Caenorhabditis elegans: one gene and its partners. The protein of the gene in region 1 purifies or fractionates together with the protein of each later gene. This does not show direct contact. Each region holds a gene or a part of one and is shown in the gene's direction. Other genes may lie near its edges.

Region 1 (11,740 bases):
TTTCACTGTTTAAAAAAGCTGCTTTGTTAGTAAAATGCAGAGAAAAACATTTTTAAGCTGAAAAATCTGCAATTTTCAGTGGAAAGACAAAACACCGCGTGATAGACGACTTTTCGATTCACTAACGTGCAAATTTCCTCCGTTGACCTTCTTGATTCCGATCATGTTCAATGGAAGATGAGCATCCAACGTGTTCACAGCATCGACAATCATATTGGCGAAGAAAAGCCGTTCTTGACTGACGAGCTTGCTGCTCAACGTGGTTGCAGCACACTTCACAAGCATCTCACGGAGCTCCGTCTCGCCATTAATTTTGATTTCCAAATCAGCCAAGTTCTTCAGCGTCTTCTCGCAAGCTTTTCCGATGGCGCGAATGAGAAGTTGTGGATGGACACCGTCCTCGATGAATGGCTTCATTTGCTTCAGAATTTCGGCGGCCAAAACGACGACAGACGTGGTTCCGTCTCCGACTTCAGCGTCTTGAGAACGAGCGATATCAACCATTGTGGAGGCGGCCGGGAAGACAATATCCAAAAGCTTCAGAATTGTGGCTCCATCGTTGGAGATCGTCGTGGCTCCCTTGCTATCGACGATGAGCTTGTCGAGGCCACGTGGACCCAAGGTGGTACGGATACTGTCGGCGACAACCTGAAAAATACAGCATTTTAGGCATTTTTGACTAAATTTTAGAATTTTAGAAGCTAACTTGACAAGCGTTGATGTTGGAAATGATCTGACCCTTTCCCTGCTTGTTCTCAGTTCCGTCCTTGAGCAGGATAATTGGTGGGCGCATCATCTTGCTCTGAATTTGAATTATTAATTTTTAAAGCACGAGTATAATATTTTGAAATATTAAGAGCGATTAAAACGAGGGCAGAGAAGACAAAATTCGAAGATTTTGATGTTAAAATGTGTAGAAAGTCTAGAAGTATTATATTAATGAAGAAAATCTGGAAAATTCACAAAGATCCAGATGAAAATCGAGAAATAGTCCGACGAAAATATTCCTTCTCGAAACAATTCCCAGGAGCGGCGCGTGCTTGCGTCGCGGCTCGCGGCCACGGCCACCAGCCACAAATGCGCTCCATTGAGAATATTGCAAAGCAGAGCTCTCAGAAGCTCCATAATCGTCGAGTAGACACTTCGGTGAGGAAGGGGAGAAGTAGAAAAGCAGGAAAAGGAAAATGTCAATACTTGGAAGCATGGGAAATATGTGTGGTGAAAATGCAAATGTAACGCGTGTTGTCTCGGAGGTTCAGAGAAAAAGTGAGGGCTCACAGAGCTCTCGAGGAATAGTCTTTCACTTTTGCTTTCTTTTATTTTATTTTTATTCGCTTTTTTCTGCAAATGCCGGAGCTCACATTCCAAACTGGGCTCCTGGAGCACAAGGACCAAGTTCACAAGTTCCTGGTGGAGCATTTTAGAGTAATGGAGCCCATCACAACTTCATTGAGCTGCTCGGAAGAAGATGTCGCCGAGTTTTTCGTTGATTTGACGATGAGCGGGTTGGAAGATGAGAAAAGTTCAATTCTGGTTTTTGATGGGGAAGTAGGTTTTTGTTTTTTGTTTTTCAGATTTAATCTAGCTTCCCGCAAATTCTAGAAAAAAAAGTGTTCAGGAAATCGTGGCAGTTTGCCTGAATGCCGTCAAAGAATGCTCTTTTGTTTCCGAATCGACCCCATTCAATCCACACTGGGATTTTAACGCAGAAATCACAAATGGCCAGTACAAACACGAAAATGCCAACAAGTTGGTGGCATTCGTGCAGGTTTTGGAGCAAGACTTGTCGTTTTTGACTGGAAATCCGAAAAAAGTCTTCAAAATCGATGTGCTGTGCGTGTCGAAGGCTTGTCAAGGGTAGGAAGCAATTTTCTTCTTTTTTTTTCTTGTTCTCCTAGGGAATTGTGCTCAATTTAGGAAGGGAATCGGAAGACAGCTCGTCGAGAAGAGTCTGGAAAATGCTGTGAAGGAAGATTGCGAGTACGTGGCAACCGTTGCAACTGCTGTGGCTTCTCAGAATATTTTCAGCAAGGATAGTAGTTTCTTATTCAATAAAATTTCCGCTTTTTACGAAAAAAATAGAGCGAAAAGTCAGAAAACCTATAAAAAATACAGTACCCGTGTTTAAAGGCACACACACCACATCGGAAGCGTGGCGAGACCTTTGACCACGTGGCAAGACCAATTGAGGCACCACGAAATCTAGAACCGGTGGGATATCGGATCTGGCCCGTTTCTTTGCGTTGGCACTTGAATCCGTGGTGCCTCGATGAATTTTCGATCTAAAAGCTTCAAAAACTAATAAAATTCCAGTGTGGTCTCACAACACTTCGCGAAATGCCATTTTCCTGTTTTCGAAACAATGGCGACGTGGTTTTCGAGAACCTCGTCGACGGTGGAGTCAGCGGGAAACTAATGGGGAAGAAGCTAGAAAAACATGCAAATGAGGAGGAAGAGGACGACCTTCGATAGCGATAGCAACTCAAATTAAAGAAACATATATTTATAAAGGACCAAAGCAGCTAGGATCTCAACTTCAGATACTCAAAACCAATAATTAAAGTACACGTAATGAAATTGACACTTAATAAGCAAGACCTAGGCTATGAATAAAATATTATACATGTATTTATGAAATCAATTGTGTCAGAAATAGAATATTATACAGAGCGTGAGAAATCAGAAATCAGAATTCAAAAATTGGAATCGGCTTGATTTTGCTCATTAGAGCATCGATTCGCTCGAAGCCCTGCTTGATTTCCTCCCGGCGAGCGAGCGCTTCCTCTTCCTCTTTTCGCATTTTCGCCAGAAATTCATCCTTCTCTCTCTTGATCTTGTTGAGACTCTCCAGCTTTTCTTCCTGGAAATATAATATTGTATTTTTATTTTTAAAAATCATATTTAAATAATTTGAAACTCTCACCAGCATCCCGCGCTCATCCTCCAGCTGCTGGTTCTCCTTTTGTGCAGTATTCACGTTTCCGGCATCCTGGGTTTTGTCGAGAAAACTTCCGTGAAGTCTCGCAACGATATCATTTGGCGATTCTTCTTTACGCAGAGTCATGTCCAGGGTCTCGAGGCGAAGAGGCAGAGCGGACGAGATGAAGCTGTCCTTGGCGATTTCAATAGCTGACTTGAGCTTAGTTTCGCGGGATTTGAAAACCGCTTCCATGTCGTCGATATTCCGCGCCAGCTGTGCATCGTATTGGCTCATCTGAAAATGAAAATTTTAGATTTAAATGTAAAGTTAAAAATCGATAATACTACCTCTTTGATGTCGGTGGCCAACTTTTTCATGTAACCCGACATCTCCTGCGGAATCTTTGCCATCAGAAGCTCCAGTTGCGTCGAGTCATCAGCCTTGCGATCCTCGTTCGTAGTGTCTTTGCTGGTGAAGAACAGACGCTTCCCAGGCGTTGGCATCGACTTTCTCGAGGATCTTCTGCGTGGAGTCGTCGATTTTTCGCAAGGAGTTACGCCACGTGTCGGCGTTGCTCGCTGGGGCGACGGAACGATGGTTCCATCAACTTCCATCGGCTCAACGTCGTCGTCATCTTCGTGTTCCGAAACACTGAAAGTTTCTGGGCAACCTTGTGTTTCGTCTGGAACCTTCAAAGTAGGGCCACTAGCGCACGCGTCTGCAGCCAGAAAGGTGCCGTCTTTATTTCTGTCGGTGACTTCCGAAACATCGTGCTCGAGGGCAAAAACTGGCGGCCCTGCACGTGGCACCTCTCGAGCCACTTTCTTCTTTGGAACTGCTGATGATGAGCCGACGGGTGATGCGAAGAGCGCGGCTCTGACCGAGAATGTGGTGTCGTTTGATTTTTGAGACATTCTGAAATGAATTAGTGATTAAAAATGAGAAAATAACGTTGAAAACAAAGAAATGGCTTATTTTAATATGAAAATCCAACTTTTTTGATCTAAAATTGATAGAAAACGGGTTTTTCTATTTGAAAATAAAACTCATTTTTGTTAAAAAGCTTGCAGTTTGCCGAAAAATGCCGTAAAACATTATTTTCAGATAGACAAACCCGTTTTCTGCATTTTTATTTCAATTTTAGACAATTTTCGCTTAAAAAAGTTGGATTTTCATGTTGAAATAAGCCAGTTTCGTGTATTTTCCGGAAAAAACTGCCGCAAATGAAATGGAAATAAGAGAAAATCGCAAATTTTGGGCCCAAAATCCACCGAATGAAGGGGTCACGTTCAAAATTCGCGGGGTTAATTTGCCGCGCCAACCCCGTCACTGACGCATTTCTCGTCGCTTGCGCGTTTGCGGTGCAAAATTTTTAATCTTTATTTTCCTTATTTCCAGGCGTTTTTGAAGAGTTTTTCATGGTTTTCAGGCGTATTTTATTGATTTTTTATTGTTCTTATTAGTTTTTAAAGCTTTTTTACCGTGAAATGTATCTTTTTTGCGATTATTGTGCGTAAAATGGCCTTAAAATCGAATTTTCCAATATTTTTTTGCAGTTTCCAGAAAATGGCTCGAGAACGGAAAGCCAGGAAATCAAATGTGGCGGCAGTTACATCTCCTGCAACTCCTGAGAAAATCGAGTCCCCTGTAGTAAATGGGCATTCGCATATTAACGGTTCGCTTCGAAATGGGAAAAAACTGAGTGAATCGGAGAAAGAGGCCAACAAACCGCTCGGAGATCGTGAAAAAGAGCCAGCCACGTAGGATTATTGGTGGATTTTCGATAATATTCAATTATTTCCGATTTTCAGGCCAACTTCTGAACTCAAAAAGGGAAAAACGAGTGGTAGCGGCGGTGGATCACAATGTGTTCTGCTTACTCAGGGAATAATGGCTAATGATAGTGCAAAAATCGACTCAGTCATTAGAAATTTGAATTCTGAAATTATTCACGCTACCCTCCGTGATCTCCAGCCGATGCAGGTCTTGCCATTGCTCAAAATCATCGAATCTCGCTTGAAAACGAGGAATGCTGCAGAGTAAATCGAATTTTTAGTACTAATTCCTCCTAATTTATTGATTTTCCAGCATTCGTCCAACCATCCGATGGGCTCAAATCGCCTTCTCAATTCACATGCCTTATCTCAGCTCACTTCCGAATTTGGAGAAGGAAATTGGCGGTTTAATCGGCTGGCTGCGCTCAAGAGTCGGTCATCATCGAGATTTGTTGGCTCTTCACGGAAAAATATCCACAATCGCTGATCTTATCAAGAGACGAACTAATAATGTGGTTATTGTGCAGCAGCCGTTGGTTGTGTTCAATAATGGTAATATTTTGAGCGGATTTTCGCGGAAAATTACGCGCAAGATATTTTCCAGCGGAAAAGCCTGTGTTTCCCACGTTTTTCAGTGAAAATTCACTTGGTTTATCTGAAAATAGCATTGTTTTTAGTGGAAAAAGTGGAAAAAAACGCAGAAAAATGCAACTTTCAGGCAATTTTTGGGCATTTTCTCCAATATTTCTGCTGAAAAGTGTGTTATTTTCATATAAACCGAGAGAATGCGGCAAAATAGAATTTTTTGTAGATAAGCTCGGAAAATGAATTTTTGCAGGTTTTTTATAAAAAAACATTAAAAATCAGATTTTTCCGCGGTTTTTAGTATATAATAAGGTGAATATTCCTGTTCTCAATTATTTTCGGAAAATTCTACAAAAAGCCTGTACTTCCCAAATTTTTCAATAAAATCAGTCTCAAAACATAGAAATTCACTTGTTTTTACTGAAAATAACATTATTTTTAGTGGAAAAATTGGAAAAAGAGCAGAAAAATTGCCTGAAAGTTGCCGATGACCGATTTTTCGGCAACTTTCGGACAGTTTTTAGGCATTTTCAGCTACAAAAGATGATATTTTCAGTTAAACCAAGAGAATTTATATATCTTTTGTAGAATTTTCCGAAAAAAATTTAATTTTCAAAATGGCCGAGGTCTTATGAAGAATTTAAACCTATTTTTCCCCAATTTCCAGATCTTGATTCGGATTCTGAAGATTTTGACACAATTGGCTCGGATGATGACGGTGAGAGCAGCGAAGACGATTGGTGGGAGGATAATGAGCTGAAAGAGGATGAAGAAGAGAATCAGGATGACGATGACGAGGACGATAATGATTCGGATGATAGTGAAATGGACGCAGATAGTGCCGAAAGTGGCGGATCTGGATCTGAGGTTCGATTTTTTCCACTGAATAAGACACCACGGATTCAAGATTTGGTGGAATTCCGGATTTGGCACTGTGCCAACGAATAAAACGCAACTTTTCTCAAAGAAATACGCTAAACAACTCGTGACGCGTAATACCGGAGCATCGTTGTCACGTTTTTTTTCGAAAAAACTGCGGCAGTTGGCACGATGCGAGATCCGGAATTCCACCTGATCTTGAATCCGTGATTCCTAAAGTCAATTTTATGGGAATTATATTTAAAAAAAAATAGACATTGTGATATGGAAATAGTGGAAATACAGTGAATTTCGCTTCAAAAAATCTTAAATAGTTTTAAATTTAAAAAAACGGAAAAATAACGAGAATTTTCAATTTTGACTGAAATTCCTCCAAAATTTCGAACAATTTTGATTAAAAAACGATAATTGCCTCTTTGGAAACCGGAAATTGGAGTTATGAACTGGAAATTCGAACAAAATTTCGCTAAATATGTAGAAAATAATAAGTTCAACGTTTTTAGCAATTTTCAGAAATATCAATAAATTTAACCATTCTATTACGGGAACACAAAACTCCGAGAATGCGTATCGAACAACATATTTGACGCCCAAAATATCTCGTAGCGAAAACTACGGTAATCCTTTAAATGACTACTGTAGCGCTTGTGTCGATTTACGGGCTCGCTTTTTGTAAACTTTTTTTTTTCGAATTTTGACACCGATATTCAATTTTCCATCGTCTTTTTTCCTATTCTTTTTTCATTTTTGTGCTTATTTTTAATATTTTATCCAGTAAAAAATTATTTTAATTGAAAAACGTCCAATATTGGCTTCATTTTTATAGGGAAACTTCTACAAACGTATTTTTACATTATTTCCTGTTTATTGCCGGGTTTCAACTGGAAAAAAGCCTGCAATAGACGGAAAATAATGTAAAATACGTTTGTAGAAGTTTCCTCATCAAAATGAAGCTTATATTTGACGGTTTCAATTAAAATCATTTATTAATGGATAACATATTAAAATTAAGCACAAAAATGAAAAAAAGAATACGAAAAAGCGGAGGAAAATTGAATATCGATGTCAAAATTCGAAAATAAAACATTTTCAAAAGACGAGCCCGTAAATCGACACAAGCGCTACAGTAGTCATTTAAAGGATTACTGTAGTTTTCGCTACGAGATATTTTGCGCGTCAAATATGTATTTTCATTATTTTGTGGCACCGTAATATTCCAATGAAAAATAGTTCCCCACTCCCCGCCGTCTCTCTAATATCATAATATCATTAAACCTGTCAAATATCTCTTGGAAAATGGTGAATCTAATCTGCGCCTGAATCAGTACAGAAAATCCATTTTTATTAAGTTTTCTAGGGTGTAATTTCAGTTTTTGTGATGTTGTTGGGCAGCCAGAAGTCTCAGGGCGCGCGCGTACGCAATATCTCATCACATTGTATAATGAGAACCAGATTTTTGTTTGTGAACAGAAGCTATTACCTATTTTTGGATAAAGAATACATCTGGAAAGTAGTGATTTGAAAGAAACAAAAATTTAATATAAACTTTTTTTATTTAAATTTTGTGCTCTAGAATATCCGAAATAGCCTGAAATTCAGAAATATCACAAAATAAAAAGCGAAAAAAAAATGATGAAGAAATAACGAAAAACCCCTTAAAAACGTGAAAACTGCAAGACCAATCAGCGATTTGTACTCCGCCCACCTTTGAACCAATCAGCCGAAGTGGGCGGAGTTCGACGGTGGTTAATTGTTTTTCGGTGAAAATTTAGACAAAATCGAATTAATTTTCATTTAAAAAATTGGATTTTCATTATTTTTTTTTTCAAAAATAAAAAATAATTTAAAAAAACGGAAAACGAAAAATTTTGATTTTTTGTTTTTTTCAGAGAAATAATTGAAAAATCAAACAGTTTAGGTGTTTTTCCAGTAAAAAAATAATTTTTAAAAAAATCAGAAAACGAAAATTGTTAGGTTTTTTTTTCAGAAAATTGAAAATTTGAAAATTTTTAGGTTTTTTTCAGAAAAAAAACTTTTAAAAATCGAAAAATGGAATTTTCCGCTTTTTTCAGTGAAAATCGAAAAAATTAACTTTTTTTGTTTTTTCAAAAAAGTGAAAAAAAAAACCAAAATTTATCAACTTTTATCAGTACATTTGAAAAATTTCGATTTTTCGGTTTTTTCAAAGAAAATCAAAAAAAAAAAGCGAGAAAAATAAAAGAAATGTACGGAAAAATCTCATTTTATCAAAATATGTTGATTTTAATGAGAAAGATTTTTTTCCAAAAAAAAAAAACAAATATTGCCTTTTTTAAATATCAAATTGAAAAAATCTGTAAAATCACAAATTTTCGGTGTAGAAAATCCAAATTTTTTCCAGAACGACGAAGATATGGAGGTCGGATAAATCGTCGGTTGCCTTCGCCTTCGCCTACATCAATTCTCTCTTCTGTTGTTTTTTCTCCGTTCTTTCCACTGATTTCCCCCCCGTCTACAAAATCACTGAATAAGAGTTGCAGTTACTCTGTCCCTGTTCCTAACTGCACAGTTTTTTTATTGTTGTTGTTGTGTGTTGTTAGCCTTTTTATTTTTTTTTTTCAAAAAATTGTCCTCTTCCCATCCAAATTTTAACATTTTCCTTGCTTTTTTCCTCATTGTTATCATCATCGTTTTTTTTTGTTCCTTCCAGGTAAATTTGAGTATTGTTGAATTATTTTTTTTGGATTTTTTTTTCAGAGATGTCGAAAATCGAAATTTTTTTGTCGGAAAATTCAACAAATTTCGATTTCAAAAAAACTTTAAAAATTCTCGTTTTTCTTTTGAAATCAGAAAAAATAGATTTTCGATTTTTTTTTAATCGAAAAAAATGGATTTTTGAAAACGAAAAATTTCGAATTTCGATTTCTATAGGATAGGAAAACATCTTTTTCATTTTTTTTTTTGAAATTGAAAGTATTTCGATTTTTTATGAAAAAATTTAATATTTTTTGAAATCGGAAAAATTCGAATTTTTGAAGTCAAAAAATGTTAGATTTTCGATTTTTATGAGATCGGAAAAAATTAGATTTTTTTAAAATCGAAACAAACTTCAATTTTGAGATCGAACAAAATTTACGATTTTTTGAAATTGAAAAATTAGATTTTTTTTTTTGAAATCATAAAATGAATCTAAAAAATCGAAAAATTGAGATTTTTTATGTAATCGAAAATTTACGATTTTTGAATTCAAAAATCGATTTTTTTTCGAATTTTTGAAGTCAGAAAGTTTCGTTTTCTATTGGATCGGAAAAATTCAATTTTTATTTAATCGAAAAATTTGGATTTTTTTTGAAATAAAAAAAATTTTCAAATCGAAAAAATTCGAATTTTTTTGAATTCGAAAATTTTGAATTGAAAAAATCAATTCAAAATCTTTTTGAAATCAAAAAAATAAATTTTTTTAATCTAAAAATTTTTTGATTTCAAAAAATTAGATTTTTTTTAAATTAAAAAAATCGAATTCTTTGAAATCAAAAAACCAAAAAAAAATAAAATAAAATTCCCAAAAAAAGCTTCACCCTCCAAATTCCACCCTCCAAATGTCGCGCAACTTCACCAAAGAAAAAAAAACTTAAAATTCATCTTGAGAGCATAAAAAAGTGCCAAAAATTTTGGTGGTGGCGCTACTTCATTTTCGCCTGCGTCTCTCACCTTTCTCACGTTATTTCGCCTGCCCCCTGTAAGCCTCTCTTTTGAAGTAATTGAATTGGGGGCTCTTCGCCTTCTTCGGGTGCCCCAATTCCCCCCCCCCCCATTCAAAAAAACTCTTCATACATACAAAATTTGTTGGGAAGTAGGAAAAAAAATTGAAAAAAAAAGTTTTTTTTAGTTTTTTCCCCAAAAAGAAAATTTAGTTTTACAACTTTTAGCAATTTTTCACAGGGTTCTGGCCTTCCTCATTGAATTTTTCGCGCTCCATTGACAATTGCCAGCTCGGAAAGTCGTGTACTCCACACGGACAAATACATTTAGAACTAAAATCGAGCCGCGACGCGACACGCAACGCGCCGTAAATCTACCCCAGATATGGCCGAGCCAAAATGGCCTAGTTCGGCAAACTCTTCCATTTCAATTTATGAGGAAAGCCAGAATTCCGTGTCTTAAGCAAATTTTATGTGAGAAATTTCGCGAATTTTTCAATGTTTTCGATGTGAAATCGAAACAATTTCACGGCTTATCAGCTGCGGCAGCGAATTTGGAGAAAATGTGTTTCCAGGACAGATTGGGCGCCCGCACTTGTCTCCGAAAAATGAACAACCTAATTCGGTTTTTTTCTTTTTTTTTTTGGTCGTCATCATTTTAAATACTAAATGCAATTGTCCCAATTTGTCGTTTGGGTTTCATGGCCGCGGAATAGAAAAATGTCGGCCATCAATTTATTTGCGAATTTAAAAAAAACGAAGTGTCCAAAAGGAATTTTTTTGTCTCCGATTTTTTGAAAGAAAACCCCATTTTGTATGGCCTAGTTTTGTGGCCAATTTGTCTTTTTTAAAAGCATATAGACAACCATCATGGATTTCTGGCTTCTCTCATAAATTGAAATGGAAGAGTTTGCCGAACTAGGCCATTTTGTATCGGCCATATCTGGGGTAGATTTACGGCGCGTTGTGTGTCGCGTCGCGGCTCGGTTTTAGTTGTAAAACTAATGTATTTGTTCGTGTGGAGTACACGACTTTCCCACGCGTCGTCCGGCGAGTGATTGTCAATGGAGCAACGAGGAAGGCCAGAACCCCTTGATATCACGCAAGGACGTACAGGTGGCCGCGGAATAGGTAAACTAGGCCATCAGTTTCTGTGTCGCAGCCGAGCCGCAAACCAGTCAGCCTGAAAAAAAAATTGGTGGCCTAGTTTTCCCATTTTCTTGACAGTGGCCGAGAGACTATTGGTGGCTGACTTTTCATTTTTTCTAAGAAAGCGTCCAAGAAAATATTGATAGCCGAGTTTTCACTCGAAAAAATAGTGGTGGCCGAGTTTTCACTCGAAAAACTATTGGTGGCCTAGTTTTCCCTTTTTCTAGGAAAGCGGCCGAGAAAATATTTATGGCCTAGTTTTCCCATTTTCTGCACATGTGGCTGAGCTTACAATTTTCTACTAAAGCGGCCTAGTTTTCCCTAGAGAAAATGTTGGTGGCCTAGTTTTCCCATTTTCTGGGCAATGGCCTTGTTTTCCCTCGATAAAGATTAAATGACCGAGTTTTTTGTTGTTTTCTGAATAAGTTTTTTCTGGATAAACTATTGGTAGCTTACTATTAGTTTGCCCATTTTCTGGGCAGTGGCCAAGTTTTCCTTTTTTCTCGGAAAGCGGCCAAAAAAATATTGGTGGCCGAGTTTTCCAATTTTCTGTACAAGTGGCCGATAAAATATTGTTGGCCTAGTTTTCCTAGAGAACATGTTGGTGACCCTTCCTTTCTCCTACGAAACCTTTTCCTACGACTTTTTTCCTACGAAAGCAGCCAAGAAAATATTGGTGGCCTAGTTTTCCCATCCTCTGTGCAAGTCGCCAAAAATTATTGGTGGCAGAGTTTTCCAACTTTCTATACAAT
Region 2 (9,863 bases), on another chromosome or scaffold:
TATAGAAAAAAAAACTATAATTTCTAGTATTTTTCGAAGTATTTAGTTTTCAGAGAAATTAAAATTCAGGGAAAACAACGATTTTTGCCACAAAATTGTGAAATAAGCTTTTTTTTTTAATTTTTCGGTGCGAAAATCTGCAAAAACTGGTTTTGGAACTTTTTCAAATCATAATATTATCAATTTTGAAGTCAATTTTAAATCAGAAAATTTGCATTTTTTTTTTCAATTAAAATTTAAAAACTCGCCCTACTTTTTTAGTCACAATTTTTCCGGTTTTTGACCTGAAAAATAAAAATTATGCGATTTTTTGCTTCTTTTTTATTTGTTCGGTATGAAAATGTGCAAAAACTGGCCATTTTTTTATCAGAAAATTTGTATTTTAGCTCAAAAGACCAAAATTGGCCCAAAGTATTATAGAAAAATACGATCGCACGAAAATAAACAACGACGCAACGACACTCCGCTATTTTTAAGCCCCGTCCACGATTTCATTTGCACTGCGGCCGACGCATTTCAGTGCAAATGAAATCGTGGGCGGGGCTTAAAAATAGCGGAGTGTCGTTGCGTCGTTGTTTATTTTCGTGCGATCGTATTTTTCTATAATACGGTAGCCGGTCTCGACACGACAATTTTTTTTGATAAATACAAACGGATGTGCGCCTTTAAAGAGTACTGTAATTTCAAATTTTCGTTGTCTTGAAATTTTCATCGATTTTTCATAGTTTTTTTTCTGTTAAAAGTGGGCTACGATCAGTGGGGAAATTACTTTAAACCGCGCCTATGGGTCACAATGACCGAATATCATGATAAAAAAATTCAAAAATTTTTTGAAAATTGGAAAAATCAGTTTTCAAAAAATTCTTATTTGAATTTCCGCCAATTGGATTCGTTCGGTGGAGCGCGCTTGCATTAATTTTTATTGATTTATTTTATTTTTCTCATTTTTCCACTGATTTTCTTCTTTTTTTTCGGTTTTTTTTAATCGGAAAAACAGACATAAATGCAAATTGTTCATTAATAAATCATTGAAAATGGGTATAACTGTAAAATTATGAGTTCCGACGAAAACAAGCCTGAAATTAGTATATTTTACAGTTTTACACACATTTTCAGTGATTTTTAATGAACAATTTGCATTTATGTCTATTTTTCCGATAAAAAACCCAGAAAATGAAGAAAATTAGTGAAATAATGAGAAAAATAAAAAAAATTAATTAAAAAAAATGCAAGTGCGCTCCACCGAACCAATCCAATTGGCGGAAAACTGAGACTTTTTCCTAACCTAAATTGGCCTAAATTGGCCCAAAGCCGGTCACGACACGACAATTTTTTTAAAATTTTCATCGATTTTTATGGTTTTTCTGTCTAAAAAATGTGCTTTCTTCGTTTTATTTCAATATTTCAATCAAAAAATATCAATTTAACGTTAAATTTATTTTTTTTAAACTGAAATATGGAAATAAAACGGAAAAAACACAATTTTTCACAGAAAAACTATAAAAAATCGATGAAAATTCTATGGTAACGAAAATTTAAAATTACAGTACTCCTTGTGGAATTTTTCGGTATTTTTGAGGAACCGAAAAAGCGAAAAATTTCCGTTTTTGGATAAATCAAAAAAAAATCTGGAAACAATATTTTTAGGCCATATTTCATACAAAACACAGAATTTGCACTTTTTGAGCAAATTTGATCCTAAATTTTTTTTCGATTTTTCGGTTTTTTTATTTAAAAAAACCGAAAAACGAAAAATTTTCGTTTTTTATTAAAAAAAAAACCGAAAAACGAAAAATTTTTCGTTTTTTTATTAAAAAAAACAAAAGAACAAAATTTTTTGTTTTTTTTTATTTAAACAAGCACCGAAAAACGAACATTTTTCGTTTTTGTTAAAAAACAACCGAAAAACAAAATTTTTCATTTTTTTATTTAAAAAAAACCGAAAAAAAACTGATTCAGGTGGATTGCCCGGCTCAAATCGACGATTACATTCATCGAGTGGGTCGAAGCGCCCGAATGGATGATTCTGGAAACTCATTGCTCATGGTGAGCCCGTCACAAGAAGAAGCAATGATTGGCAAGTTGGAGAAGCACTCGATTCCAATTGAAGAGCTCAAAATTCATCCTGATGCGATGAGCGATGTTAGGGTGAAGCTTCGGGCAATTCTCGCAGAGTCACAGGAGTTGAAAGAGTACGCACAGAAGAGCATTGTCGCATATCTTCGATCGATTTATACGATGAAAGATAAGAAGGTTTTTGATGTGGAGGCTATTGATGCAGCTGCTCTGGCGGATTCTTTTGGACTGGTTTCAGTGCCAAGGGTCAGGTTTTTGAATAAGAAGGCCAAAAAAAGCGGCGAAAAATTGATGGAGAAGGTACTTTTTTTTTGAAAAATTGCCATTTTTTTGCAAAAAATGAAAAAATAAGGTAAAAAAATAAGAAAAACCGCGCGCCGCACGGTTGCAAAATTACGCTCCGCCTCTTTTTCTGTGCGGCGCTGCTGATTTTTGCAAAATTTACGAGACCCGGCCGACCACGCCCATAAAACCATGCGGAAAATTCAAATTTTGCATACTCCGCACGGTTTCGGGAACAAAAATCGTGGCCACGCACGCCCATTTTTCCGTGCGGCACGAAAAAATGGGCGTGGTCTTGGTTTTCTTTTCACCAGTTCTCCTATCGGTGGTGCCTCGAATTTTGTGCCCAAAACCGTACGGGGGTAGCAAATTTTGGTTTTTTTCCGCACGGTTTTATGGGCGTGGCCAATCTCCCAGCAGCGTCGTATAGAAAAAGAGGCGGAGCGTAATTTCGCAGCCCTGCGGCACGGTTTTTCACCTTTTTTGATTTTTTTTTTTCGATAAATTTTCGTTTTTTCCGAATGAAAATGTTGTCCAATTGAATTCTTATAAGATTTTTTAAAGAATTAAATTGGATAATATTTTCATTTGGAAAAATCGAAATTTTTTTGAAAAAAAAGGAAAAAAAAACCGTGCCACAGTCTTGCAAAATTACGCTCCGCCTCTTTTTCTGTGCGAAGATGTTGGGGAGATTGACCACGCCTATAAAACCGAGCCGAAAATTATAATTTTGCAACCCGCACGTTTCTATGGGTGTGGTCAATCTCCCTAGCAGTGTCACACAGAAAAAGAGGCGGAGCCTAATTTTGCAACCGTGTGACACTGTTTTTTTTCCCGATATAAACCAAGTAAAATCGAAACTTTATTGAGTAAAATCCTCGAAAAAAACCGTGCCGCAGGGCTGCGAAATTACGCTCCGCCTCTTTTTCTATACGACGCTGCTGGGAGATTGGCCACGCCCATAAAACCGTGCGGAAAAAAACCAAAATTTGCTACCCCCGCACGGTTTTGGGCACAAAATTCGAGGCACCACCGATAGGAGAACTGGTGAAAAGAAAACCAAGACCACGCCCATTTTTTCGTGCCGCACGGAAAAATGGGCGTGCGTGGCCACGATTTTTGTTCCCGAAACCGTGCGGAGTATGCAAAATTTGAATTTTCCGCATGGTTTTATGGGCGTGGTCGGGTCTCGTAAATTTTGCAAAAATCAGCAGCGCCGCACAGAAAAAAAGGCGGAGCGTAATTTTGCAACCGTGCGGCGCGGTTTTTCTTATTTTTTTACCTTATTTTTTTCATTTTTTGCAATAAAATTTTCAATTTTAACATTTTGCAGGAAGTAAAAGAAGAAGAAGAAGAAGCTTCCCTAGTTGGAAAATTCGCAATTGATGAGGACGATGAGGATATATTCACAGTGAAAAAGCCTACAGGAGAGCCTGAGCAGATCAAGGAAGAAGAAGCCGCTGAAAAGATCTCAAATATCACCATTTCCAAGACGAAACCGCTCAAAAAAGCAGTGACAAAAGTGTCGGCGGCGAAGAAAATCCTCAACAAAAAGCTTAAAGTTAACACGAAAAAGACATTTGGAGCAGAAGATGATGAGCTCGAAGAGCTCGAAGAAGGCCCCTCAACTATCACCTCCTATGGTTTGGATATTGAAAAAGCCCGGCAGGAGATCAAAAGTGGCGATAAGGAGGATCGGAAAAGGTTCAAGCTGCTCCGCGAGCAACGGAGACAGGAGAAGCTTGCGAAGAAGAATCGGAGAGCTGAGGAGGAAGAAGCTGTGGAGTATGATGAGGATGGAAGTGAGGATGAGCCGGATATCTCGTGGCTCCCGGATCCGGATGCGGTTAGAAGGAAGTATGAGGAGGAGCCGGATGAGGTGGAAGATTTGGAGCAACAGGCTCTTGCGGCTCTTGGGAGGAAATAATTTAAATTTTATTGTTTTTTCGGTTTTTTTAGATTGTTTTTGAGTTGTTACTTGTTATTCATTCTTTTTTTTGAGTTTCTTGAGTTTTTCTTCAGTTTTCCAAAGAAAATGTTGAATTTATTTGATTTTTTCCTCGTTTTTTGTTACTTTTGGTGTTATCATGCACATTTTTATATCTTTTTTAAAATTTTAAAATTGTTCAAAATGTTTCAGGTCAAAAATCAGAAAAAAAAACCATTTTTAAAAATTGAAAAGAAAAATTGCGAAAATTAAGACGCTTTTTTGACTTATGCTTCGAGAAAATTGAATTTAACGCACGAGTAATGTACTTTTTTTTGCGAAATTAAAAGAAAATTCACTTTTGTGGTATCAGAATTTGATTCAAAATTAATTTTAAACCCAAAAATTGGTATTTTTTCGGGCAAAAATCTTAAAATTCAGCAAAAAATAGCGAAATTTAAGCCATTTTTTAAGTTTAAAGTTTACAAAAATTGGTTTTTTTTCAGCATCTATCGAATTAAGACAAAGAAAATTGCAAAATAACAAAATTTCACGTTTTTTTGAAAAAAAGAAACTTCTCGATTTTCACAAATCTCCAATTTTTCTTCTCGAATTTCAATCAAAAATTTGCAAATTGAGAATTTTTAAAGGTTTTTTGAAACCAATTCTGGAAAAAAATTGCCGGAATTGAAAATTTCCGGCAAATTCGGCAGTGTGCCAGATAAGAAAGTTTCTGGCAAATTCGGCAATTTCCCGGAATTCAAAACTTCCGGCAAATTTGATCTTCAAAAGAAACTTTTTTCTTCAATTTTCTCTCAATATTCACAGTTTTTTTCAGAATTTTCCCTCAAAAAAAATTGTTTTTTTTCCAGAAATGGCTCAACCATACCTCCCCGCAGAGAAATTTCTCTCCAGAAAACAAGAGACAATTCTTTTGGACGAAGATGTCATTTATTGGAAACGAATGCAACAACTCACCGTATTCCAGGAGCCAGCCGTCGTCAGCTCCGTCAGAATTTCACCGAAAAAGCCGTATCACGTGGCAACGACTAGCAGTGTCCGTCTAACACTCTACGATACAGTAGTCTGTGAACCATTGAACCTATTTAGTAGATTCAAAAAAGGAGTATGCTCTATTGATTTTAGACATGATGGACGGCTTTTGGGTGAGCAAATTAGCTGGAAAAATGGAGAAAAATCGCGAAAATTCTAGAAAAAGCGTTTTTCAGTGAAAAATTCCAAAAAAAATTTGAGTTCGAAAATTATAAAAATTTTGACATTTTTCAAAAAAAAATTCACAGGGCAAAACCCGAAAAAAAAGACAAATTTGAGATTTTTTAAAACACCGATTCTAGAAAACAATAATTTATATTGCAAATTTTTTTTTTCGACTTCTCACCTTTTTAAACTTTAAATGTCCAAAAAACATTTTTCTTACGAAAAATTTCAGAAAAAATTTTATCATCGATTTTCTAGCGTTTTTCCACTAAAAAATTGAAAAAATCCAAATTTCAATAAAAAATTCCTCTTTAAAAATGCTTAAAATTTGAGGAAAATCCCGATTTTCAATGCAAATTTCAATAATTTTGCTAGTTTTTGAATTAAAAAAATTTATTCACATATAAAAAATCTGGCAAAACCCACAAAAAACCTTTGAAAAATGACAAATTCGGGATTTTTTGAAACCAAATTTTGAGAAAAACTATTTTAGAAAAATTGCAAGAATTGGAAAAAAAATATAATTTTATGAAAAATATTCAGAGAAATATCAAGAAAAAAATTTAATTTACATATTTTTTGACACACAATTTTCAAAAAAGAAGTAAAAACCAACCAAAACGCCACTAATTTTTGATAAAAATTCGGAAATTTTTAGAATCCGATTTAAAAAATATATACTGAAAAAATAAAGTTTTCTCTCAAATTTTCGAAAATATTCGGATCGAAAGCCGACAATTTTTTTACATTTAATTAAATGCCGAAAAAAACGCTTTCTGAGAATGCGTATTGCACAACATATTTTACGCGCAAAATAGGGTCTCGTAGCGAAAACTACAGTAATCCTTTAAAGGAGGACTAACGGTTCGGACGATTTTGAACGTATAGACCCGAAATGAGCTCAAATGAACGAATTTCTTAATGAAATTTCTCAAAAAATTTTCTAAAATTTTTATGGCGGTTCAAAATTTCGAAAAAATTACACTGATTTTAGCTAAAATCTCGAATTTTGCCTATTTTTTGGTGTCACATTTGTCCGAAGTTGACTTTTTCGGAATTATCATCCTTTATTGCATATATTGGTAGTTTATCTCATTTAATTTCGTCGATTAAAGTAAATTTAAAGCCGATAGGTAACCAAAAATCATCAAAATTGGTTACCTATCGGCTTTAAATATACTTTAATCGACGAAATTAAATGAGATAAACTACCAATATATGCAATAAAGGATGATAATTTCAAAAAAAATGAACGAACTTCGGACAGATGTAGCACAGAAAAATGGGCAAAATTGGAGATTTTAGCAAAAATCAGTCAAATTTTTTTCCAATTTTTTGAACCGCCATAAAAAATTTTTGAAAAAATGTTGAGCAGTTTCATTACGAAATTCATTCATTTGAGCTCATTTCGGGCCTATACGTTCAAAATCGTCCGAACCGTTAGTCCCCTCCTTTAATTGGAAAATTTCCAAATATAAATCTAATTTTCCAGCAATCGGAGGTGACGAGGGAAAAGTTCGCATCTTTGACGTGGAAAAAACGACGGGCTCGAGTAAAGTTGCTCTTCGTGTAATGCAAGCTTCTCAGTCAACTGTGAAAAGTGTTCATTTCTCTCCACGTGGTGATACTGTCTTCTCAATGGCCGATGACGGAAAAATCAAGCAATATCGAGTGGCAGACACGGCTTACGGAGTAAATGCCGTTCCAATAATTGAAATTCAAGCACATGAAGATGCGATTAGATGTGGAGCAGTTTCATCAATTAATGATCATATTGTACTGACTGGTGGTTATGATCATAAAGTTCGGCTATGGGATATTAGAAGTAAAGAGAAATCATTGGAACTCGATTGCGAGCATCCTGTTGAATCGGTGCTCTTTTTGCCTGGAGAGCAGCTTATTGCCACTGCTGCAGGTCCTATTGTTAAGTGAGTAGTTGGAAGCTGAAAAAGTGCAAAAATTCAGTGAAAACTTGAGCAAAAATGCTTGAAAACGTCAAAAACACGAGCAAAAAAAATTTTTTTTTGAAGATTTTCCTTCAAAAACTGCCGTTTTCAGGCCATATATGCAAATTTGCCGATTTGCCGGCATTGAACATTTTCGGCAATTTGGCAATTTGTCGGGATTGAAAATTTCTGGTGAATTCAGCAATTTGCCGGAATCGAAAATTTCTGGCAAATTTGGCGATTTGCCGGGATTGAATGTTTCCGGCAATTTGGCGAATTTGTCGGCAAAACGGCAATTGCCAGAATTGTTAAATTTCGGCAAGTTCGACAACTTGCCAGAATTAGAAATTTCCGGCAATTTGGCGAATTTGCCGGAATGGAAAATTTCCTGCAAATTCGAAAATTTGCCTGAATTTTAAAATTTCCGGCAAAAAAATTATTAAAAAATCCGGTAGTGTAACAAATTGCTGGATCGGAAAATTTTCGGCAATTTCGTTCGACAACATGCCGGAATTGAAAGTTTCTGGCAAATTGAGCAAAAAAAATTCCTGCAAATTCGGCAAACCTGCAATTTGCCGGAATTAATATTTTTCGGCAAATCGGTAACTTGCCGGTATTGAAAATTTCCGGCAAATTAGGCAGTTTGCCGGAATTTAAAGTTTCCGACAAATACGGCAACTTGCCGGAATTTAAAAATTTCGGAAACTTTGGCTACCGGCAATTTCCCGGAATGGAAAATTTCCGGCAAATTTGACGAATCGGCAACTTGCCGGAATTAAAAGCTTCTGGCAAATTGAGCAAAAAAATTTCCTGCAAATTCGGCAATCTGCCGGAATTGAAATTTAAAAATTTCCAGCAAAAAAAAATTGAAAAAAATTCGGCAAACTTGGCAATTTGCCGGAAATGAGAACTTCCGGAAAATTCTACAATTTGCCGAAATTTAAAATTTGGGCAAATTCCGCAATTTGCCGGAATGGAAAATTTCTGGCAAGTTCGGCAACTTGCCGGTATTGAAAATTTTCGGCAAATTTGAAAAATTGGCAATTGCCGAGAATTTTCGGCAAAATCAGCAACTTGCCGGAATTTAAAATTTCCGGCAAAAAAAAAGTTTTTAAAAAACCCGGCAAATTCGGAAAACCTGCAGTTTTCCGGAATTGAAAATTTCCGGCAAATCGGCAATTTGCCAGAATTAAAAATTTCCGGCAAGTTCGCCAATTGACCGGAATTGAAATTTAAAAATTTCTGGCAAAAAAAAATCCCAAAAAAAAACCTGGCAAATTCGGCAAACCGGCAATTTGCCGGAAATTAAAAATTCCGGCAAATTCAACAAATTGCCGGAATTGAAAATTCAGCAACTTGCCGGAATCGACAATTTCCGGCAAATTCGGAAAACCGGCAATTTGCCAGAATTGAAAATTGAAAATTTCTGGCAAAAAAAAATTGAAAAAAATTCGGCAAACCAGCAATTTACCGAAAATAAATTTGTTGAAATTCAGCACTAAAATGGAAAAAAAAACCTTTCAAAATCCACAAAAAAAAGCGAATATTTCCAGAATCTGGGACACAACAACGGGCCGCCAACTGACAGCACTTCAAGCTCACTACAAGACAGTAACATCTCTTCGTCTGGCCACCAATTCCACATGCCTCTTGTCTGCCGGAATTGATAGACGTGTGAATGCATTCAGAACAACAAATTATTCATTAATCAACTCATGGTCAATGCCATCACCAGTACTTGATATTGATGTATCACGTGATGATCAAACAATGGCAATTGGAATGGGAAATCTGTTGGCTCTGTACCGAAGAGCTGAGATTAAGAAAGAAGCCACTGCGTCTGCAGCCATTGAAGACAAAAGATCGCTGATTCGAACGTCTGCACCGCCTGTGAAGCTTGTCGAAAAGGATCGAGATATGCAGAAAGTTGATGTGGTGGCCAAGAATGCGGATAAACTGAAAATTCCGAAAATTGATGGAATGCTTTCGAATTTTAAGCATGCGGCGGTTATTAAGCTCCTTTTTGGAGGTAAAAAATGCGAAAAATTTTGGAAAAATCAATAATTTTTTTTGAAAATTGCCAAGAAAAATAGAGATATTTTCAGAATTCTATGAACAATTGATAGTTTTCTTTAATATCATATTTCTCTAAATTAGAAAAAAAACTATATTTTTCGATTAAAAAATCGATACTTTTTGAAAAATTGATACTATTTAAAAAAATAAATTTTTGCAAAAATCGATACTTTTCGAGAAAAAAATCGATACTTTTTGAAAAAAAAAATCTATAATTCTTGAAAAAATCGATAATTTTTGCAAAAATCACCGAAACATGCTCAAAAAAGTTGAATTTTTGACTGAAAATTGAGATTTTTGACTGAAAAATGGTGAAAATATCGAATGTTTCACGATTT
Region 3 (8,417 bases), on another chromosome or scaffold:
TAAGTTAAATACAACGAAAGCGATTAGGCGAAATAAAACATCAGCAGTACCGGAAAAAAATAATGACAAACATATCACACTAATAGCCGGGAATTATATTTTTAAATTATACAAAAATTAGTCGGAAGCTTCAAGCTCCTGGATAATTTCGATATGCTCATCGGCAACGATTTGTCCATAATCAGACAGGTTTTCAGCGAAGACGACATGAAGAAGAGCAGCTGGAGCAAGACTGAGTTGAGCCAACGATGCAGATTCATCCTCCACGAGTTGACTGGCAGCGTCACGAAGAGTGAATTCGGATGTCGAAAGAGCATCGGAAAGAGTTGAAGCAACGAAGACACGGACTGCGGAAAATGGTTCATGGCAACCAAATACTCCCTGGAAAAATAAAATAAAATAATTAATCACTTGAATTTCTGGAATATACATACCTGCATCAACAAATTTCCAGGCAATCTGACACGAATCAACGTATATTTGTAGCGATAATTGGTCATTTGTTCGTCTTTTTGTCTCATTTCCTTCGTACGCAATGTCAGCATCTAAAAATTCAATTTATTGTGTGATTTTTCAATTTAAAGCTCCACTCACTCTCTCCACCTGCATCTCCTTATTTCTCTGTTCGGCTTTGAGTTCAGCAGTCGACAAATTGTAAAAATCATCTGCCAACTTTGGTGCTTTCGGTTTTTGCCCCTCTTTTAGCTTGAAGATCTCTAGATTTCTAGCAACCTTTATAGGCACAGCCTGCCCATCCTTCAAAGCTTCCAGAGCCTCCACCAAATGAACATCTGATGGTTTTGTGAACACAAGGAACTTGTCTTCTCCTTCAGATTTCTCAGTAAATCCAACAGCTTCAAGGAATGCACGTCCTCCAACTACTGATGCAACTCGTTCTTGGAATGCCTTATTTCCCAAACGAATTGATTTGTATTTATCCTCTCCTGGGTGTTCCAAAATGTTTTGACAATACTTGCAGATTGTTTCGATGGCAGTCTGAAATTTAGAAGATTGTTTGTTTTTCTACCAAAACAACGAATTTCGTACAGTTTAGGTGAAACGACCGATTCGCAGATTTACAAAAATCCGTGTTGATTTTTTCTTTCTGTGCGACGCTGATTTTTGCGAAATTTGCGGATAGATAGTTTAATTTCAACGGTAATGTGACAAAAATGTCACAAAAACTATGATGGCGGTTCAAAATTTTGAGAAAAAAAAAACGGGCAAATTTTAGCGAAACTCTTCAATTTGCCGAAATATTCCGTTAACAAAGTAACTTTTTTAGCCTATTGTTAGCTAAAAATGATCAAATTGGCTAAATAACGAAATAACGTTATTATAACATGTGAGAAACTATTACAATAGATTAAAAAACATTTTCCGACCGCTGCAACACACAAAAGTTGACAAAATTGGAGATTTTAGCCAGAATGAGTTCATTTTTTTTCGATATTTTGAAATTCTGAGCATACACAAACCTCCTTGGGATGTTTCTTATTAAGTGAATAGAGCATCAAAACTGCGGCAATCACTTTATCGTTTTCATCATCCGCCTCGCTGATCTGATCAGAAAGGAAATTTTTGATATCTTCAAGAAGATCTGCTTTCGAGCGAATATGATGCTCACCGAGCAACTCGGAAGTGTAGAGAACACGTGATATTGCGGATGAATGCTCGAGGTGTTGCTCACGGTCGGGTTGCTGCAGTGATGAAGTCCCAGAAATGTTGAGATCTTCAACCTGACGTCTCTCTTCTTCCAGCTCTCGTTTTGCAATCATTTGAATTCTTCGTTTTCCAGCATTTTGTTGAGGTTCATTCTTCTGCATCCGTTTGAAAGCAGCCTGAGCAGCAATATCAGCGGCCGCGACACGATCAATTTGGCCTCCCTGGGCGGCTCCAGCGTGGGCAGAAGGCTGCGAAGATGACTCGCCGGATGACAAACGAACACCTTCACCGCTCTTTTTGAAGTGATTCTGGACTCGCTTTTTGTTGAGGAATTTCTTGAAACTATTCATTCTTCTTTCTCTGAAATAAATTGGAATGGTTATCAGTGCAGAACTTGTTAAATATCTTACTATTTTTTTCGTTGCTCTTATTTCTCGCTTTCTCAATGTTCTCTCTTATGATAAACTCCTGAATGATTGGTGAATATCGATTCCACGCAATGATAGTGCCAACAGAGAAGATGAAAAGTAGAATAGAAAGAAAGAGTCCGAGAGCTACCTGAAATTTTCAAATTTTGGCCATTTTAGACAGAAACAAGAACAATAATTCACGTTAAAATTTCGAAAATCTCAAAAACATGTTCTCTAACGCACTTGTTTTTTATCCAACGAATAATTATCACAGAAGATAATCAAAGCACGATAAACGTTTTCTACTCCGAATGCTTCTGAGGAATCTGGAAGCGCGTCGGAGCTCTGATAAGCAACTGAATTTGTGCTCAACGGAGTCTGCTCAGTTGTCGGCTCGGCGACCAGAGGCTCTCCCATGCAAGAATAGCTGGAATTGTAGTTCTTTTTCAGAGAGATTTGCGGAAATTAATGATTGCGAAATAGGACAGAAGGCGATGACGACATTTGTGATATTGCACGGTGATAAACATATATTTTGGGTTGTATACAAACTTCAAACTTCATTTCAGAAAATTTGAAAAAAAGCTCATCTCGAAAACGCTATAAAAAACTTGGAGTTTTTCTATTGGAGAAAACTAAACTGGGGAAAGCTTTCGGACAGAAAAATATTATCTGCTGTATTTTTCATGATGTCGTTAATTTTGTGACTTAATAAACTACAAAAAAATGTAGGTAAAACACTTTTGCGTGAAAAGTTTGTGATTGTTTTCCCAAAATACGTTTTTGCGGTTAAATGTTCGTTTTGAGATGTTTATCTTACAATTCTTTTATATTTTGGACAATAATTATATTCTATGAAGTAATCTTTGATTCTGAATAACTTTTTTCCGAAAACAATTCGTTAAAACAACAAAATTTTAGAGAGAAAAATAAAAAATAAGCAAAATAAAAAATAAAAATAGCGAGTGTCGTAAATTGTGTCGCCAAGTCCGCAGTTACGTAACCTCGCGCCGCGCTCTTGCGATAGCAAACCCCGCCCACTTTTCTGTGCACTCCACATTTTCGTCGATTTTTCATTGAAATTTTTCTTCTGTTATTTTGTTTATTTTTGTCGATTGACGACATAATTTTAATCTCAAGCGCTGATAAAATTATTATTTCCAATTTTTAGAAATCACTTTTCATCAAAATACTCACGAAATCCAAGCAAACTGTTTATTTTGGGATAGTATACTCATTCTTCTTAATTTTTTGTTAAATTCCATTGAAATCTGACATTACCTTATGCATATTTATGTTCTTGTTTTTTCTACAATTTTTGCAGTCCTCTTTGCTTCTGTATTTCTCGTAACTTCAACTTTCCAAATTATTTCGTAATATTTTCAGCAATGCCGAAGAATAAGGGAAAGGGAGGAAAGAATCGCAGAAGAGGAAAGAATGAGAACGACTTCATGAAGCGCGAGCTCGACCTCAAGGAGGAGGGACAAGGTAGATTTTATAACTTCTTTCCCGAAAAACAAAAGCATTAATTCCAGAATATGGACAAGTCTCAAAAATGCTTGGTAACGGTCGTGTTCAAGTGTTCTGTTTTGATGGAAAGCAGCGTGTCTGCCATATTCGTGGAAAGTTGAGGAAGAAGGTTTGGATCAACGTGGGAGATATCATTCTCGTCGGTCTCCGAGATTATCAAGACGACAAGGGAGATGTTATTCTGAAGTACACCCCAGATGAAGCTCGCCGTTTGAAGAACGAGGGACTTATCCCAGAAAACGCCAAGCTCAATGAGAACGATGAACAAGACGAGGGAGAGGTTGAGTTCTGTAAGTTTATTTTTGCTGAAAATTAATGAAGTTCAATTTTTTTTCAGTGGATCACGTCGGAGACGAGGGAGAGGCCGGAGAAGCAAAGTCTGACTCAGATTCATCAGACAGTGATTCGGAGAAGTCTGACGAAGAGGCAGGATCGGATAAGGAAGAAGAATCGGACGATGATTCTGAAGAGGAATCAGACGAAGATTCAGATGATTCGGACAATATTCGGGAAGAGGACTTGGCAGCTGGTCGTGGATTTAAAGAGGACACTCGTCGCGGCGGAAATCGTGGTGGCAAGAACAAGTACGGAAAGAGACGCTAAATTGATTAAATTATTGGTTTTTAATTGTTTCCCCCGGTTTCTGTTCTTTCTCCCCCTAAAAATCCATTGTTTCTCTTTCGATCCTTTTCAGACATTATCTTCCCATCTTCTCTGTCTCCCGAAATTCCGTTACTTGAATGCTACAAAGTGAAATAATTCGATTGTGGTGTCCGATGATCAACACAACCTCAAGGTTTCGGTCCATCGGACACCACTTGATGAAACAACTCATTTATTGCAAATTATCCCGTATTCCACTATTTTCCTTTCATTTATATTGTTTTCTGATAAACTTTTCTTGTTATGGGTTTAAAGCAGCACACAACTCTCGACCTTCAAACCGAAAAGCAGGTGAAACATTTGCATCAAAATGTCACAACTCGCGGCCACGTGTATTCATATAGTAAAAATTATTTATTTCAGTTATTTTAAGCTGAATTTGAATGAAATGATTGACAGAGTGCTTCTTTATAACTTATCAACTTCTGCATTTCCCAGCTATGATAATGCGACTAGAATTGATTTATATTTCTTTCTTATAGCTGTTGAGCAAGTTTTAGCTTTGAAAATCCCGTAATATTACCGTCAAATTCCAGAAAGTTTGTCCATCCATCAATAATCATTAATATTGTAATTTCATCAATTGGGATTTTTACAACATCATTCCATTTATTCGTTTTATCTCGAAATTCAATGTTAAAATCGTCCGTAATCTTGATAATGATAGGAATCGCTATTTGTGATATATTAGTGATGTTTGTCTCTATTATTTATAACTATCTTTATTTGATTTTGGAATTTAATGTGAAACCCTGGTAAAGTACATTTATTCAAAAGCTTAGTTCCACAGTACTACTACAGTAACCCAACGTAGTAAAAGATCTATGTGGTTAAATCGTAGTTAAAGAGATCACGTAGTAAACAGTACTTGACTTTTGTAACCCGATGTTAAATCAACTCATCTTTCCACTTCCAGTGAACCACCTGCACCACTTTCATTCTTTTATATGTACTGGATCAATGTAGTAATTAATGATTTGTTCCGTCGAACATCCACGTGGCTCAGCGTAGTTATGGCCACAATCAGACTGATCGTCTTGAAGTTTTCAACGAGAAGAGCATTTCGAAAAGTTAATTTTCCCAAATTCGGATTCACTTTAGTTATTGGAACGTTGTTATCAAGCATTCCATTAACTGTAATATATTATTTCCGATACGATATCGTTAAAATTGGAGACTGGAAGCCTATGAATAAGTAATCCAGATTTAACAACCTTTGCCTAATTAAAAATACACTTTCAGTTGCACATTTGCAACGAGTTATCCAGAATCTCGTGTTATCTTCACTTTGGTACAATCCAAAGTCTACCAGGCTAACGATGGACTTGTAGGAAAAGTATATCAATTGATTAATGGAACAATTTCCAAAGTGGGATAATTTTGTTTTTACTAAAGCAATTAACCAAGAACTAATTTTTGGTTCCTAAAAATAAAAATAATTTTCAGCTGTTTCCATGTTTTCTGCTTCCAGTTCTAACCTATATGCTTATTGTCGAACTCAAAAAAGCCAAGGATCACCAGAGAATGTTAAATTTAACTATAAGACCAGTAATTATCAATGAAACCCAGTCAGTTGCCAGTACAGAAAGAACCACGGGGCTAGTCGTATTTATAACAGCTTCTACATTTCTTATTGAAGTTCCAAATGGAATTGTTCGTGTTTTACAATTTGGATATACTGACTTGGGATACTGGTGAGGGTTTGAATAATTAGAAATTAATTTTGGCAATATTTGAAAATAATGAAAACATATGCCACCCGAAAGTTAAACAAACATATTTAATCTATCGTCTGTTCTTAATTATAATGATAATACAAACTATACGACATGTTTATAGCGAATATAATTTCAAAGGATTAACATTTTTCCACTTTTTTGCTGTAATTTTATGCATTTAGTGAAACCGTAATAATTCTGGTTTGTTAACCCTATTAAAAAAGGGATCTACATTTAGTTCAAATGCATTGATGGACTCCAATTTTTTTCAGATTTTAAGTGATAACGTGATAGAATAATTGGAAATATTTGTGTGGGAATTCTTTTTTTGAGAAATCAAAATTTTCAGGAGAATGGCAACCTCCGTTGCACAATTTTCAAGTGCCTTCTTTGTTCTACACGCGGCTCTTCAAGGCGCCATCTTCTTTCTGATGTCATCACAATATCGGAGGGCAGTTTCAAAAATATTCAAGAATGATGTAACCATCAAAGTTTGGGCTCATTAAGTTACAAATTATTTTTATTCCAGCGACCACCCATCATCATTGCAGTCAGCTCTAGCTACACCTGATCACAATTCCACTTTATTGATATTTTAATTTAAAAAGAAATTTAACTGTCCTCCGAAAAATGGAAAATAAACTCAAATTGAAATAGTGTAAAGATGAAGTGAAATATTTTAACATTTGATGACGGTTTCACTATATTTATAATAACAGAACAATCTATGAGACTTGTTCATGACAAAATGATTTTTAGAAAATGACATGTTTATAAAACCTATATACCGTATTTCTTCTATTAATATGGCTGCAATACTATTTTTCGAAGGTCTCCCCGCTTACAATACTAACTGACTCAATATTTTCCTTGTTTTTTTTTGTTGAGCAAAATTCCTGAAGCTCAAGCTTCAAATTTCAGCACCAAACGACAGGTGAAACAACTGCTGTTATAACAACAGCACACATGCAAGTGGCATTGATTAAAAATTATTCCGTTCAATTTGGTAATTCTTCCCAAAAAAAAATGGATGAGAATACCTATAACCTAGCGACTTCAGCATTTCCAAGTTATGATAATGCGACTAAAATTCAACTTTATCACTTTCTAAAAACCGTCGAGTAAGTTGAAGCTTTTTCAGCTTAAATTCCAGATCATATTTCATTTTTGTTTCAGAAATTTTGTTCATCCATCTATTGCCTTGAATATAGTATTTTCCATTATTGGCGTTTTTACCACATCTTTCCATTTATTCGTTTTATCTCAAAAATCAATTTTGAAATCTTCAGTAATTTTGATAATGATGGGAGTGGCTCTTTGTGATATACTTGCAATGGTGGCTTCTGTGTTTTATAATATTTTGTATTTAATGATAGAATTTAATGTGAAACCTTGGTCAGTTTACCACTAAAAGATATAGGCCAGTTATCGATGTTCCTTATAAAAATCAAAAATAGGCTCCACCTATTTCTGTTTTTAATCCGATTGTCTTGTACTACTTGTTTATGTTCTTTAACCTGGCGGAGTAATTTTTATAAAATTTCCACAATTGATCTACCTACTGTGCCTATTTTTTCAGTGAGCCTCCTTTATCTCTTCCACCATTTCATATGTACTGGATTAATATAGTAATCAATGATTTTTTTCGTCGATGTTCCACGTGGCTCAGCGTAGCCATGGCTTTAATTCGCTGGATAGTTATGAAGTATTCAACTAGACGTGCATTTCGAAAAGTCACACTTTCAAAGTTTGGAGCTTACATTTTTATGGGAGCACTTGCTCTAAGTCTCCCTCTCACTTTTATATTTTATTTCCGATACGATATTGTAAAAATTGGAGACTGGAAGCCATTGAATAAGTGATTATATAACTTAAAATAATTATTGATTGATCTAAGTTTCAGTTGTTCAAAGTCTGCTAATTTTACTGTTTCACTCAATATTTATAATCTTGTGCAGTCGGAAGTGTACACAGCCAATGACGGGCTGGTTGGAAAAGTTTATCAACTCATAAATGGTACATTTTCAAAGGTAAGTGATTAATTGTACCCTCCATTTTTAAGTTCAATTAATATAAATTAAATTTACAAAATTACCATAGCTCCTGACTCCTTTTATTTGTTTTTTCAATACGATTCCATACGAAGATTTTTCAAAAATTTCTAGTTTTTTACGAAATACCAAAGCAATTGCGCGGTCGATTATTTTTTTACTTTCTGCTTTTTTGCTATCAATATTTGAGAAATTTGAATGAAAGTGTAGTTACAAAAATATTTGAATACGTGGTTTCGGATTTGACCAGCAGTTTTCGTTTTTAAAGTAGGAAGCACCCAAGTGAAGGAGGTCCAAAGAGGATTACATCTTTCCTCAACTTGACATAAAACACACAGATAAGAATTAATTTAACTTAAACACAAAACCTCTAACACAAA

The links.
Region 2: the proteins of T10B5.3 (region 1) and Y23H5B.5 fractionate together in Caenorhabditis elegans (co-fractionation; one large-scale study listed by BioGRID). This does not show direct contact.
Region 3: the proteins of T10B5.3 (region 1) and eif-1.A fractionate together in Caenorhabditis elegans (co-fractionation; one large-scale study listed by BioGRID). This does not show direct contact.

What each region holds. Positions count from the first base shown.
Region 1 is NC_003283.11:1,861,308-1,873,047, reverse strand, and holds T10B5.3 (Small-subunit processome Utp12 domain-containing protein), read left to right. Parts: upstream 1-4,476; 5' UTR 4,477-4,486; coding exon 4,487-4,680; intron 4,681-4,731; coding exon 4,732-4,959; intron 4,960-5,008; coding exon 5,009-5,247; intron 5,248-5,947; coding exon 5,948-6,147; intron 6,148-8,539; coding exon 8,540-8,566; coding exon of another isoform or gene 8,567-8,669; 3' UTR 8,670-8,870; downstream 8,871-11,740. Other genes in the region: cct-7 (T-complex protein 1 subunit eta), read right to left, coding at 127-648, 707-796; T10B5.4 (aralkylamine N-acetyltransferase), read left to right, coding at 1,348-1,548, 1,619-1,857, 1,918-2,032, 2,314-2,472; knl-3 (Kinetochore NuLl), read right to left, coding at 2,687-2,860, 2,924-3,214, 3,268-3,834.
Region 2 is NC_003279.8:2,492,977-2,502,839, forward strand, and holds the start of Y23H5B.5 (U3 small nucleolar RNA-associated protein 15 homolog), read left to right. Parts: upstream 1-5,157; 5' UTR 5,158-5,159; coding exon 5,160-5,451; intron 5,452-6,995; coding exon 6,996-7,431; intron 7,432-9,002; coding exon 9,003-9,478; intron 9,479-9,863. Other genes in the region: ddx-10 (ATP-dependent RNA helicase), read left to right, coding at 1,960-2,376, 3,692-4,285.
Region 3 is NC_003282.8:4,807,473-4,815,889, forward strand, and holds eif-1.A (Eukaryotic translation initiation factor 4C), read left to right. Parts: upstream 1-3,461; 5' UTR 3,462-3,463; coding exon 3,464-3,563; intron 3,564-3,610; coding exon 3,611-3,895; intron 3,896-3,942; coding exon 3,943-4,208; 3' UTR 4,209-4,511; downstream 4,512-8,417. Other genes in the region: ubxn-6 (UBX domain-containing protein 6), read right to left, coding at 118-381, 435-545, 595-996, 1,479-2,015; H06H21.37 (uncharacterized protein), read right to left, coding at 2,012-2,025, 2,076-2,223, 2,319-2,492; srw-95 (G-protein coupled receptors family 1 profile domain-containing protein), read left to right, coding at 4,657-4,757, 4,805-5,023, 5,185-5,463, 5,511-5,637, 5,715-5,962, 6,336-6,465, 6,516-6,557; srw-94 (G-protein coupled receptors family 1 profile domain-containing protein), read left to right, coding at 7,013-7,107, 7,163-7,381, 7,566-7,844, 7,890-8,016.